Linked DNA regions of Caenorhabditis elegans. The protein of the gene in region 2 interacts with the protein of the main gene of each other region in a biochemical or structural test. Each region holds a gene or a part of one and is shown on either strand. Other genes may lie near its edges.

Region 1 (7,473 bases), on a different chromosome or scaffold from region 2:
GAGTTTTCACCTTTAAAGAGTACATTAATTTTCATTCATTTTGCTGTATAGTTTTCATATGTTTACGTTTATGGAAAATATTGAGATTAGTTGCAAATTAAAGGGTAGTGAAAAATACTGTACTTTTTTAAGGCGCACAACCATTTTTTTCGCAGACTTACTTAAACATTTTTTGTCGCTTCGAGACTATGATAATCATTTAGCAATAAGTCAATCAATGTTTTTTAAATACTAAAAATATTTGCATCTTCTGGTGAAGCTTAAACATAAGCTTAAGCCTACTATCTGCAATTAGCCTCTCACCTTGAATTCATCCATTCCATCCATTGCACTCATGTGCATTTGTGCAACTTCATAAAATAAAGAAATAGTACATGTTAGCATTGGAATAAGAAAAGCTGCACAAATGACAGTAACACCAGAAGCCACATTGGTACCGTAACCCATTTCAGTAGACTGTCTCTTCACTGCCGTTCGTATCACTCTTTATATGCACGTTGGCATGGGTGATACGTTCAGATGTTGGATGTGTAGATAGATAATTCCACAAAACGTTTTCTTGTCATAAAATCGACAGTCATGTAATGATATCTAGACACTAAATACACAAATCTATAGATAATAACAATTACATTTAGAACTTCGGAAGGACAGACGGCAGCGACCAGCGTTTTAAAGAGGAGAGAGAAGTTTGACAGGAAAAGAGGGACTGAAAGAGAAAGTTGACAGGAAGTGATCAGAATTCAAATTGAACAAGAAGTGAGTATATAGATAAAAGTTATTTAGAGATGAGTATACATCTAAGAATGTTTTTAAAAAAAGTGAAATGAGTTCACATTCTTTCAGTTGAAAAGTAATTATCATCTTGGATGTCCCGATATCTTGCAATTTCTTGTTCCAGATAATATTTCCGTTCAAGAAGTTCTACCGTGTGATCGTGTTGAGGCCATTGGGCAATTAGCTCATGTCTGAAATTTTTAATTGTATTTTTCAATTGGACTTGAATTTGATTTAAGCAAAATTTCGGTCAGGATATTTAAAATTTTCACCGTTATTTTGGAAAATAAATAATCCATAATTTTTGTTACTTAAAACTTTTTAAAATTATAATTTTTCAAAAAAAAACACTTGAAATTGCACTTTTTGTTTTAGAAAAAAATTATTTCGCTTTTTCGATTTGAAATAAAAAATCGAAAAATATGTAATTTTTGTTATTCAATATTTAGATATTTTCAAAAAATTTAGATTTTTTGATATTTAAACTAGTTTTTTATTTTGATAATTTTTTATTTTATCAAATGAAAATGACATGTTTAATTGTTTTTTTTTCACAAACTTAACACAATTTGATGAAAAGCTGATATTTTCGTAAATTAAAATCTAAACACTTTTTCGATTTTTTTTTCGGAAAATGCAATGATACAAAATTTGAATTTTTCCTCTTTTCCAGAAATGCTTTTTATCTTAAAACAAATTTTTTACATTGAAACATAGCAATTTCAACTAACTTAGCTCTCATAACTTCTTTTTTAATGACCCAAGCATCTGCATATTGTTTATTATTATCACAGTGTTGATGAAAGATTTCCAAAGATTTTTCGTCACGAGTATCAGGATCAATAGGCTGAAAAATTGAATGTTATTATATTTAATTCAAATCTCATCGAAGGATTACTCTAGTCTCCTCATTCGAACAAATATTCATAAAAACGGCATGTTTTTCCTCATCGTTGCTATCTCTTCGGTGCTCAAAAGGAGGAGGAGGACGTGCGTCTCTATGTGGTTGCCTGAAAAAAAGAGATATTTCATAATACACCACGTCAATGGAAAAAATAAATGTCTACTTTTGTAGAAATACCCATCAAAGTGTTAGTTTTTTAATTTCTCTAAGAACCAAAGAAGCTAAAATTTAAAAAAATTATTTTATTTTTGGAAAATGCCAAATTTTAAATACTTTTCGGTCATATTTCTATTTTTAAAAGCAATTTTCGTATTTTCTCATCGAAATATGAATTTTTTGATAAATTAATAGTTTCATTTTTTAAATTGATATTTATTACACTTTTTTTCGTTTTTTCTATTATTAGAATTTCAGAAAAATCAAACAATGTTCGTTTTTAAATTTTTTGACTTTCTCTGAAAAAATTGAAAAATCGATGTTTGAAAAATAGCTTCAAATTTTGGTAATTTTTCTTTTCTATAAAGAAAATTACATGCTTTCTTTGTTTTTTTCATAAAAACAAGTTTTTAAACATTTAATCCTTTAGTTAATTTTCTAAACGTTTTTTTCGGTTTTTGCGAGAAAATAGAAAGACAACAATTTTTTCAATTTTTTTTAATTTCGTCTGAAAAATAATCGAAAATGTTTTTTTCAATTATTCTAGTCTAAATTTGCATGTCTTTAGATATTTAGTTTCTTATCCGAAAAACCCCAAAAACAGGACAGTCCTCATCTCCATTTCCATTAATTCCTACCTTTGCTCGCTTTTGGCTCTATCCCGAAAATTTTTAGCTTCACTTTGAGATTTTGGTATTCTAGATGCACCAGCTTCACCCGGAACCGTTGGATACGGTAGATCCTAAAATTTCAATTTTCTGTTTTTCAAGCTATCCAAATGAAAATCTTACCGGTTGCACTACAAAAGTCTCACTACGATTTCTTCTATGACCCTGTCCAGGTTGTTGAGGATTTAAAAGTTTTGAAGCAGTTGGTGTTCGATTATTTGATCCTATTCCACTTCCAGAAGAAGTTCCAAGCATTGTTGGTCGATGAGCATGTGGTGGAGGAGTTTCTGCTGGTCCATTTGTTGAAGAATCCGATAAAGGTACGCTCCCATTCGGATATTCCTTTAATGCAAAAAAAATTAGTTTTTTTGGAGTTTGGCGAGATTCATATGTTTCATAGAAAAGCAGGTCTTATCACGAATACAGTAATTCTCAGATAAAATTAAAAATTGTGTTGGAATAACACAATTTTTAAAATTTAAAAACTTTAAAATAAATTCAATAAATACTTTAATTTCTTCGCAATAAAAAATTCGAAAACAAAAAATTTAATTTGCTTTGCAGCACCTTCTTTCGAGATTGTCCAAAAATTTTAATTTTGTATTTTTAGAAATATTTGTTCAATTCAAAAAAATTGTTTTTAACTGGTTGAGTATTTAATTTTTAATTTTTTAAAAGAACTTACATCTTTTAGAAGAGTAAAATATTCTACACATTCGGAAGAAGTCGGTCGAATATCAGCATTATCATTCCAACATTTCTTATAAAATTCAGACAAAATAGGATTACATTCGAGTTCTTGTGGACGTAAGTTAGCTGTCGCAACATTATATAAAAGTCCAGGAACTGAGAGATCTCTTCGATACGGATGATTTCTAGCAATAATTTGCCACATTATAATTCCAATACTGTAGATGTCAGATTTCATATTATACTGTTCACATCGAAATACTTCTGGAGCCATTGTGATTGGAGTTCCACGATTTGAAGTCATTGATTGATGCATTGAGGTAAATGTTCCAAAATCACATAATTTCATTGTTCGATATCGATCAGAGAGAAGCATGCTGAAATTATTTTGATTGACCACAGTAGGTGATTTAATTTTAATTTTGAAAACTGACCGCTAAAGATTTCTGATAATTTATTGAAATTTGAAAAGCTACAAAAATTAAGAAATTCCTCATTTTTACTTTTAAAATGGCTTTTTAAAATTATTTTCATATGATTAGTTCTTCTTGGAGGATATTTTTAAATCCACTTTGAAATATTATTTTTTAAAAATGATTTTTTTTAGATTTTACACATTATTTTGTGGACCAATTTTCAAGGAACTTTTTGCTTAAAAAAATAAAAAAAATAGCTCACACAAAAATGTAGAACCCTTTAAAATTAATTTTTCGAATGTCTAAAAATGGATTCGAAACATTTCTGCTTTTCTGTACTAAATTCACTTAAAATTTCAAAAGATTTTGTTGAATTTTTCTAAAATCTAAATTGTTAAATTGACAGGATCTCCGCCATTAATTCTTTCAACTTTTAAAAAATTTACCTAATATATTAGCTAATAGTAAAGAAAAAAATTTCAATATTTTTCTGTTAATTTTCAAAAATCACTGAAAACATCTTCACATCCAACATATATATTTCTTTCAATAATTTCTGCTATCAAAAACTCACTTTTGAAGTTTCAAATCTCTGTGAACTTGGCTGTTGGAATGGAAAAAATCGACGGCGGATGATAGTTGAAACATCCATGAAGCCACATGATCAATTGTATAATTAATGTGTGTTCTGTCGTAGAGTACTGAAAAAAAAATAGATTTTTCAGCTAAATTTTATTTTGGAGAATTGCCTCATTGAAATGAATTTTTAATTTCGTAAAAAACAGGGTTTGGAGAATTTAAAGCGATTTTTTTAAGACTAAAAATGGAAAAAAAAAACCAAATAGCATTTTTTTTGTTCAAAATTATAGTGAAATTTTTTTTGCCAGATTTTTCGTGTTACAGCGTCCATATATTGATTTTTATTCAGTTTCTTCCATATTTTGCAGTATAATCCGCTTTTTTGATGTATTTTAATATATTTTTAGCTGATAGAAATTTCTGTTCCTATTGCCGAAAAAATGTAGTTTAATTCGCTAAGAAACACGGAATAAACCGACAAAATGTTAAAAAATTTGGCGAAATCGGGGATTTTCACTAAATTTAAATGAAAATCTCACAATCGGCCATGCTTCCACAATCCATATATTCCATAACGACTCCTTGCCCATTCCGAGGGCTTTTGTACAGTCCATAAATTCTGAAAAACTTCTATTTTCAGTATTTTCCATTTATAAAAACATACTTTATAATATTAGGATGATTTCTGAGATCCCACATAACTTTTGCTTCTCTTATAAGAGTTGCCATATGAAGTTGAGAAGAATATTTGATTGCTGCTGGCCTGAAAATAATATTTTGGTGATTTTATTGATTTTTTGTTAACTTTTGATAATTCCTCATGCTTTAAAAGAATTAAATTTAAATTTTTGAAGCTAGAAACGAACCTAAAGTCATCCTGCCTAGTTTTTCTATATCTTGTTTTCTCAACCAATCCATAAGTGCCTTTTCCGAGATAATGACTATTTAAATTATCAATACATTGTGCTTGAATTTCGGGAATATCAATTGTTGAGCACAATCCGGAATCTCGTGTTGTTCGTTGTGTTGGTGTCTGAATTTATTAATTTATTGAGTTTTCAGTGATTTTTATTGATAGTTTTGGTAAAAGCAGGCTTTATACGTCTTCAACTGATTTTTTTAAAAATTAAATACAATACTGTTTTTACAAGAAAACGTTATTTTTCTTTACTCAAAATCCATTAAACTTACAATTGCGGCAGGACTTGGCGAATGACTGGACGAACTACTAGACGGTTTGCTCTGTGACGAATTGTCCATTTCAGAGCCGAAACGGTGAAAAAAATGGTGATGGGCGGCAAAGGACAGGAACTGGCATGTGTTGTGTGTGTATACTCTTTCTCTCGCTCAGTGGAAACGATATAGTGCACAAGTAGAAGAAACTGCAGACGAATAACAAAATAGACCAACGGGACACAGACAGATTTCCGATTTAGACAAGGAAGAATGATGATTTTAAAGAAGTTACTGTAGCATGGCTGAAAATTGTTTTGATAAATACATAAAATTCAATTGCGCAGGTTTTACAGAAAATTCAAAATAAAGAATAATTGAATGTTTTAAGTTCTGAAAAGTAAAGAAATTACACAACGGGGAAGAAGTATGGAAATTTATTCAAATTATATTTGTATAAAAAATACAAAGATCGAAAATGTTCTAATTTTCTGTTCTTCTGTTCTAAACTAATTTTGTTAAATATATAAATAATGTTTTCAGCTTAATTCGAAATTGCAGAAACAATTCTTTGTTGGGGACACTGTGCTCAAAGGCGCATGACGCAACGAAACTTTTGGGTCTCACCACGAAACTGTCAAACACGGTAATCCTAAAATTTAGAGAAGCTGTCAATTAATTTATGAGTTTTGTTTGTCTTAATTTTATGTTTAAACCAACAAATTGTCTGCATTTTTTCTTCAAAAAATTTTATTTTTTACTTCAGATGTCAATTATTGATGACCGAACGGATCCATCTTACGACGGCGAGGACTACGAAGCTTCTATAACGGTATTTTATTTCGATTCTTATTTTTAAGATTATTGAAATGTTTCTAGTTCGGAACCTATCAACAAGAAGAAGTCGCCCCGTTTGCTGTTCATCAGTGTAATGTGTGTAATAAAATGTTTATGAATTATAAAGGTTATTCGCATAAAAATAGAAAGCTGAAATAAAAAAAAACATTTCAGGTCTCCAACAGCACTCTGTGATTCATACCGACACCAAACCATACATCTGCGATGTTTGTGGCCGAGGATTCCGATACAAATCGAATATGTTCGAGCATCGTACCGTTCACACCGGCTATACCCCTTATGTGTGTCCATTTTGTGGAAAACAGTTCCGATTGAAAGGAAACATGAAAAAGCACATGCGAACTCATGTGACAAGCAAAGAAGAGTTGGAAGCTGCTTATAGACCATATTCGAGGTTGGCAATCGGTCGACCCTTCACCTTCACAAATAGTTCGTGGTACGTATATTATACATTGGACGTACAATAAATATGTTATTCACATTGCATTGCACGAATTTTAAGAACTTCGTCCATTATATTATGTGAATAATACATTTATTGTACGTCCACCGTATAATACACGAACCACGAATTATATGTGTTGTACGAGGGGAATTCTGATATCTATCTCGTCTTAAAAATGATTTCAGCAATCGGCGTTCGTCTGGAATTATTCCGTCCGATGCTCTAGTCATTCGTGGGACATCGATGCCCTATTACAATCCAGAGAAGAAGCGATCGGTTCCGAAACTTTTATTGGGTAAAGATCCTTCAAAATGGGTTGATATGATCTGCCGAAACCAGCTTATCCCACTATCTTCATTTGACGATAAAATCATGAGAGCTACAATGCGATTGACTAACTGTCACATGGCATCCGATGTTCTAGAACAAGCTAAACCACTCGAGTTTGAGATGTAAGTTTCAATTCAATTTGAAATTACAGTACTCTTTAAAGGCGCACGCCCTTTTGTATTTTACAAAAAAAGAAGACGTGAAAAGACCAGCGTTTGTATTTTTACCGCAAATTATTATAATTATTGTCTTACTAATATCCCATGCAAAATCTGAAAATTACAGCTTTCGATGCCCAATTTGCAAGTGCGAATGTAGTGGAAGAGAGGATTGTCAACTGCATATGTATGCTTCTCATGATAAGAAAGAAGCTGAAGAACCAAATTATTGCACGGTAAATAATTGAAAATTAAATCTTGAATATCCTGTAAACTTTATTTTCAGAAATGCATGAGAGTATTCGCCGACGTAGATATG
Region 2 (4,485 bases):
AAAAGCGTTGATGTGAAATTCAAGAAATTTGATCTCACACCAGCTCAAGCAACTCCTCCCCCGCATCTCTCGTCAGAGATTTTTTTTTCAAAATAAAACAAAGAAATAGGAAAAGAAAAGTTTAGATCTATGTAGTAGCAACAATAGAAATTATTTTGACGGTCGACTTGAAAAATGTTTCTTGATCTTTTCAAAATTGTTCCCAGAGTTGAGATTGGTAGCTTCCACGTAAGGTGTCGAACAGGGCACACAAGTGGTGTCAGAGTTACTCATTTTGGTTTGATCTACGTAGATCAATAATACAAAAAATGCGGGAGAAGGGGACGCAGAGTTCTCCACTGATTTCGTATGGTTAAGAACGCGCTGACGTCGCATTTTTTTTGGGCGAAAAAATCCCGCTATTTTTCTAGATCAATCCGTGATGGGACATCCTGGCACATGGCACCACATAGGCACATATAACGTTACATTTGTAATGAAAGCATCATAATCATACTCCCCGCAAAAATAACACATAATACATGATAACAAATATTTATATTTACTAGCAACAATATTTATTTTGAAGGTCGAGTTAGAAGTAGTTTCTTCATCTTTTCATAATTTTTTCCAGAATTGAAGTTGGTAGCATCGACATATGGTGTCGAGCAGGGCTCATACAATGTTGCATTTGTAGATTCCATTGTCGAAATCGCTGAATCGAATTGTTCGTAAAGAGCCGCTTGGTAATCTTCCTCGAGCTTCACATAAATCACAGTCATTTCCTCTCTGTGATTACTGATACAGAAATTTTTATCGTCGCTCATCTGAAAATAAAATAAAAATAATATGGCAATGTGGAATAGCAAAATACATCCGCCCAATGTTTGAACAAATTTAATTGAATTGAGAAGAAATAGGTAAAATTTTGTAAATTGTATTCAAATTTGCTTATCTAAAAAAGGGTAAATCCAACAAACCGTGTAAGCATCGCGATGCTTTCTTGCAAACGAGTCTACCAATGCCTGCGCTGTACTTGTAACTGTGTGATCTTCAATTAGTCGAACGGATACTTCTCTGAAAACTGGGGAATCGATGAAAATTTTATTTTTTATTTTTATAAACGTGTGACTTGGTTATTGACGAAAAAGTTCCATAAGTTTGCTACTTACGTTGGGATGTTTTCAACTTCAACTTCCTTAAGATTCTGAACTACACCGTCGGAGATCAGAACCAAATGTCTCCAGGATGGGTCGATCTAAAAGTAGAAGTTACCTGTTGGTTGGAAAATAAGCATTTAAAAAAAGAAAAGAAAACATGTTCTCATTTTGTAATCAAATCTGAGGTGTTGTGACTAATATTTTCATTGAATTTGATCTTTTATCTTGTTTTTCGTAAAATGTTCCAGAACAACATTTCATCATAGCAAACCTTTGTATACTGAACATCTGGAGTAGAAATAACCGGTGGTCCTTTTGCATTCTTGAAAGCTTCCGTCTCTTCAAACAGGTGGGTTCGTTGTAAGTCACCGATCGCTCTAGTTGGATTCAGAACTGTCTGTAAACTTATTTTGTAAAATTATTACAAAAAAAATTAATTACCTCCGGATTAATCCCTAGCCCTTTTATTCGTACAATCTCCAAAGGATTGTCATTATTGTGTAGATTTGAGTTGAGCTGCACTACGTTCTCACTGTTCATAGCAATTGCGCTGAAAGTTTTTTTTTTTCAAAAATTCCTAACAAACAGTTTCAAAAATCTTACAGAGAGTTTCCGCAATTTAGCACATATAGGTCCTGGTTAATGATCATGACTACTATGGCAGTGGTACCTTGGCGAATCTGAAAATTTGGGAGATTATAATAATTTCAAAATTTAGTCTAACTTTTTGATTGATTTCCGATACTGCATTATTTCCAGTTTCCGACTGTTCCTCCAACTTTAACAGTCGATTGTTCAAATCATCGGTGTTCATCAACAAATAACGCTCGGCAACGTTTTCAAATTTCCGTTTAAATTCTTCCACCACCTGAAAATGTAGTTGTAGAGTTGAAAATTTGATTGTTAAATCACTTGATAAGGGAGTAGTGTTGGTGTAATTGGATTTTCTCCAAAAATCTCATATACCAATCTGTTCATGACAAACTTCGCTGTTGAATCGCCACCATTAAATCCGGAAAAAATACCGTAGAGTTTGATGGGTCCATTGCTGAAAAATGAAAATTTGTTAACTTTTACTATTAATGTAATCTACTAATCTGTGTCTACATGATCTTTCATGTTTTAACAAAAAATTACGATAAATATAGTTTTATTTTTTAATTGATGTACTTGTGACATTTACTTCCTTGCAAACAAATTGTATTTAACACCTTCAATGTATCGTTCCAAAACTTTCTCTTTTCATTTTTTGTTCATTGTGTTACTAGACAAGGAAAGTGTAAAAATTGCATTTTCCCACGTAATCGTTCAGTTTATTTTCCACTGAATTGCTGTAAAATTTGACTTTTTTCCTAATTAAGATCGGTTTATGTTTCATTTTGCAACAAAAAAAGTAGAATAAACTCACTGTATGCACATGGAGCACGATAAAAAATCGTTGTTCTGCACCGGATTTTTTTGTTTTGAGTAGCGGCAGCTGTGCACAGTGCCAATGCCCGCATCGGTGTTGGCAGGGTATTGATCGAGGAACCCGTCGTCCCCCATTTTGCCTGTGCTCTGCGACTGCTCTCCTGCTTATCTACAATCAAATTCACGATGAGTTAGAGAAATAATGACAGAGAAAACGATTAATACAAACGATAAACAAATTTGTTGATTGACTACTTCTACTTTCTTTTTTATTATATAAACGTTCAATGAGCAACAACAAAAAATTCTAATCAAATTATATTTTTATATTGAAATACAATTTAAAAAAAGGGAAAAATTCTAATTCTAATCTTCAAAATCTATATCCGGTCTTTTTTCTCACGCCAAAACGCGTTTCTATTCTTATCAAAAAGCAGCAATGGCTAGCCAAGCACAAACACGTTGAGAGAATTGGCATGCCGACGCGCGCACGCACCCTCCCAAGCATACACCGCCGCGTGTGCCAAACGCGCTCCATTGGCAAAAACCGATAGTCGCAATTTGGACAATTAATGCATTTTCGCATAAATAATGAGCACATTGTTTTTGATTCAATATGTTCTATTGATGATTTTCTGTGTATTTATGTAGTTTTTTGTAGTTCGCACCTGAAAATCGATTTTTTTTGCAGAATTGTACACCGAAGATGACGTCAATAATCAAAAACCAGCTAGTCAAACATTTATCCAAGTAAGTTAATTTTTGAGTGTATTGAAAAATATTAAAAATCGATGACAACGTCAAACATATTTTTTCTCAAATAATACCCTCCTTGTTTAGTTGATAAAATGGATGTTAAAATTTTTGTAACGCCACTGGGAATTTTGCCAAAATATGCTCCAAATCGCTTAAAAAAACCAAAAATATCTTGGTAATTGCTACTTGTGACAATAAGTATAAAATTTCAAATTTTTTTTGAAAAGTTTTACTATGGAATTTAATCAAGTTTGCACCCTCAAAAAATTCACTTTTTTTCAGATTCACAAAAAACTTGAAGCCCGAGCAGATATCCTTAGACGTGTTAAAAGGAAATAGTAAACTTCAGTTTATTGAAATTAACGAAGATGTTTTGACAGAGATTTTGGTGAGTTTTAAATGTACATGCTTTCCTTGCATAAACTCAAAATTTCAGGAGCTTCCTTCGTGGTTGAAAATCAAACGAGCATTCTGTACAGGTGTAGCTGTGAATGTACCATGGACCAAATTGAAAACTTGCCCAATTCAGATTGTAGGTTGTTTTCTTTTTTTTGAATTAGAAATTGAAGTAGACAAATTTATTCTCGTATTTTGAATAATTATATCAGACAAATTAAATCTGCCAAATGTTGCATTTTTGATAACGTTTTCTATTTTGTAAAAAAAAAGTTATAAATATTTTGAAAAGTGTCATAGTCTCACATAAACTCCTTTTTCATTCAAATTCATGCTTTTATAATCGTAAAAATAATTTCAGTTCATTGATGAAATCAATGTGGATGTGGAGCTTACCAATGAGCATAAAAAACAGGCAAAATCAAATCCACTTGGGTAAGCATAGTTCTACCATTTTCGAAATTAAACCCTTCACGTTTTTGCAGAAATCTCGGTGACAGCAGTTCATACGGCTTCATGAACAAAATCATCGAAAACATGTCTTTGTATATAAGTTCTGTAGAAATTAACTTTGATTCCGACGTATTCGGAGGCTCATTTATGGTTTGTGTTTGCTCAGCCGGAAAATGTTTTAATTAATGAAATTTTTCAGCTTCAACGATTGTCAGTGGAGAGCAGAAGTCCAGGATGGGCTCAAGTGAAAGACTTGCGTCAGACTAGAATTACGTGCTCGGAGACAAATAGAACATTGATGTTTAAGCAGGTGAATTTTTAAAAAGAAACA

Evidence for each region.
Region 1: of the proteins of tap-1 (region 2) and mom-4, one has a biochemical effect on the other in vitro, tested with the Caenorhabditis elegans proteins (2 studies listed by BioGRID).

Annotation. Positions count from the first base shown.
Region 1 is NC_003279.8:9,895,150-9,902,622, forward strand, and holds mom-4 (Mitogen-activated protein kinase kinase kinase mom-4), read right to left. Parts: upstream 5,669-7,473; 5' UTR 5,451-5,668; coding exon 5,382-5,450; intron 5,224-5,381; coding exon 5,057-5,223; intron 4,954-5,056; coding exon 4,855-4,953; intron 4,810-4,854; coding exon 4,730-4,809; intron 4,313-4,729; coding exon 4,186-4,312; intron 3,573-4,185; coding exon 3,191-3,572; intron 2,848-3,190; coding exon 2,629-2,847; intron 2,580-2,628; coding exon 2,476-2,579; intron 1,788-2,475; coding exon 1,676-1,787; intron 1,625-1,675; coding exon 1,509-1,624; intron 969-1,508; coding exon 833-968; 3' UTR 529-832; downstream 1-528. Other genes in the region: col-64 (Nematode cuticle collagen N-terminal domain-containing protein), read right to left, coding at 304-447; lsl-1 (C2H2-type domain-containing protein), read left to right, coding at 6,130-6,195, 6,243-6,327, 6,375-6,615, 6,852-7,118, 7,282-7,390, 7,441-7,473. UniProt on the Caenorhabditis elegans protein: Part of the Wnt signaling pathway essential for the specification of the mesodermal cell fate in early embryos. Stimulates the wrm-1/lit-1-dependent phosphorylation of pop-1 and plays a role in the initial nuclear accumulation of wrm-1.
Region 2 is NC_003284.9:14,587,857-14,592,341, reverse strand, and holds tap-1 (TGF-beta-activated kinase 1 and MAP3K7-binding protein 1), read right to left. Parts: upstream 2,719-4,485; 5' UTR 2,685-2,718; coding exon 2,548-2,684; intron 2,188-2,547; coding exon 2,052-2,187; intron 2,008-2,051; coding exon 1,864-2,007; intron 1,820-1,863; coding exon 1,743-1,819; intron 1,690-1,742; coding exon 1,581-1,689; intron 1,537-1,580; coding exon 1,411-1,536; intron 1,238-1,410; coding exon 1,152-1,237; intron 1,057-1,151; coding exon 960-1,056; intron 807-959; coding exon 558-806; 3' UTR 521-557; downstream 1-520. Other genes in the region: bltp-3B (Chorein N-terminal domain-containing protein), read left to right, coding at 3,256-3,299, 3,588-3,693, 3,742-3,837, 4,063-4,136, 4,187-4,304, 4,354-4,464. UniProt on the Caenorhabditis elegans protein: Involved in the Wnt signaling pathway by regulating mom-4 kinase activity.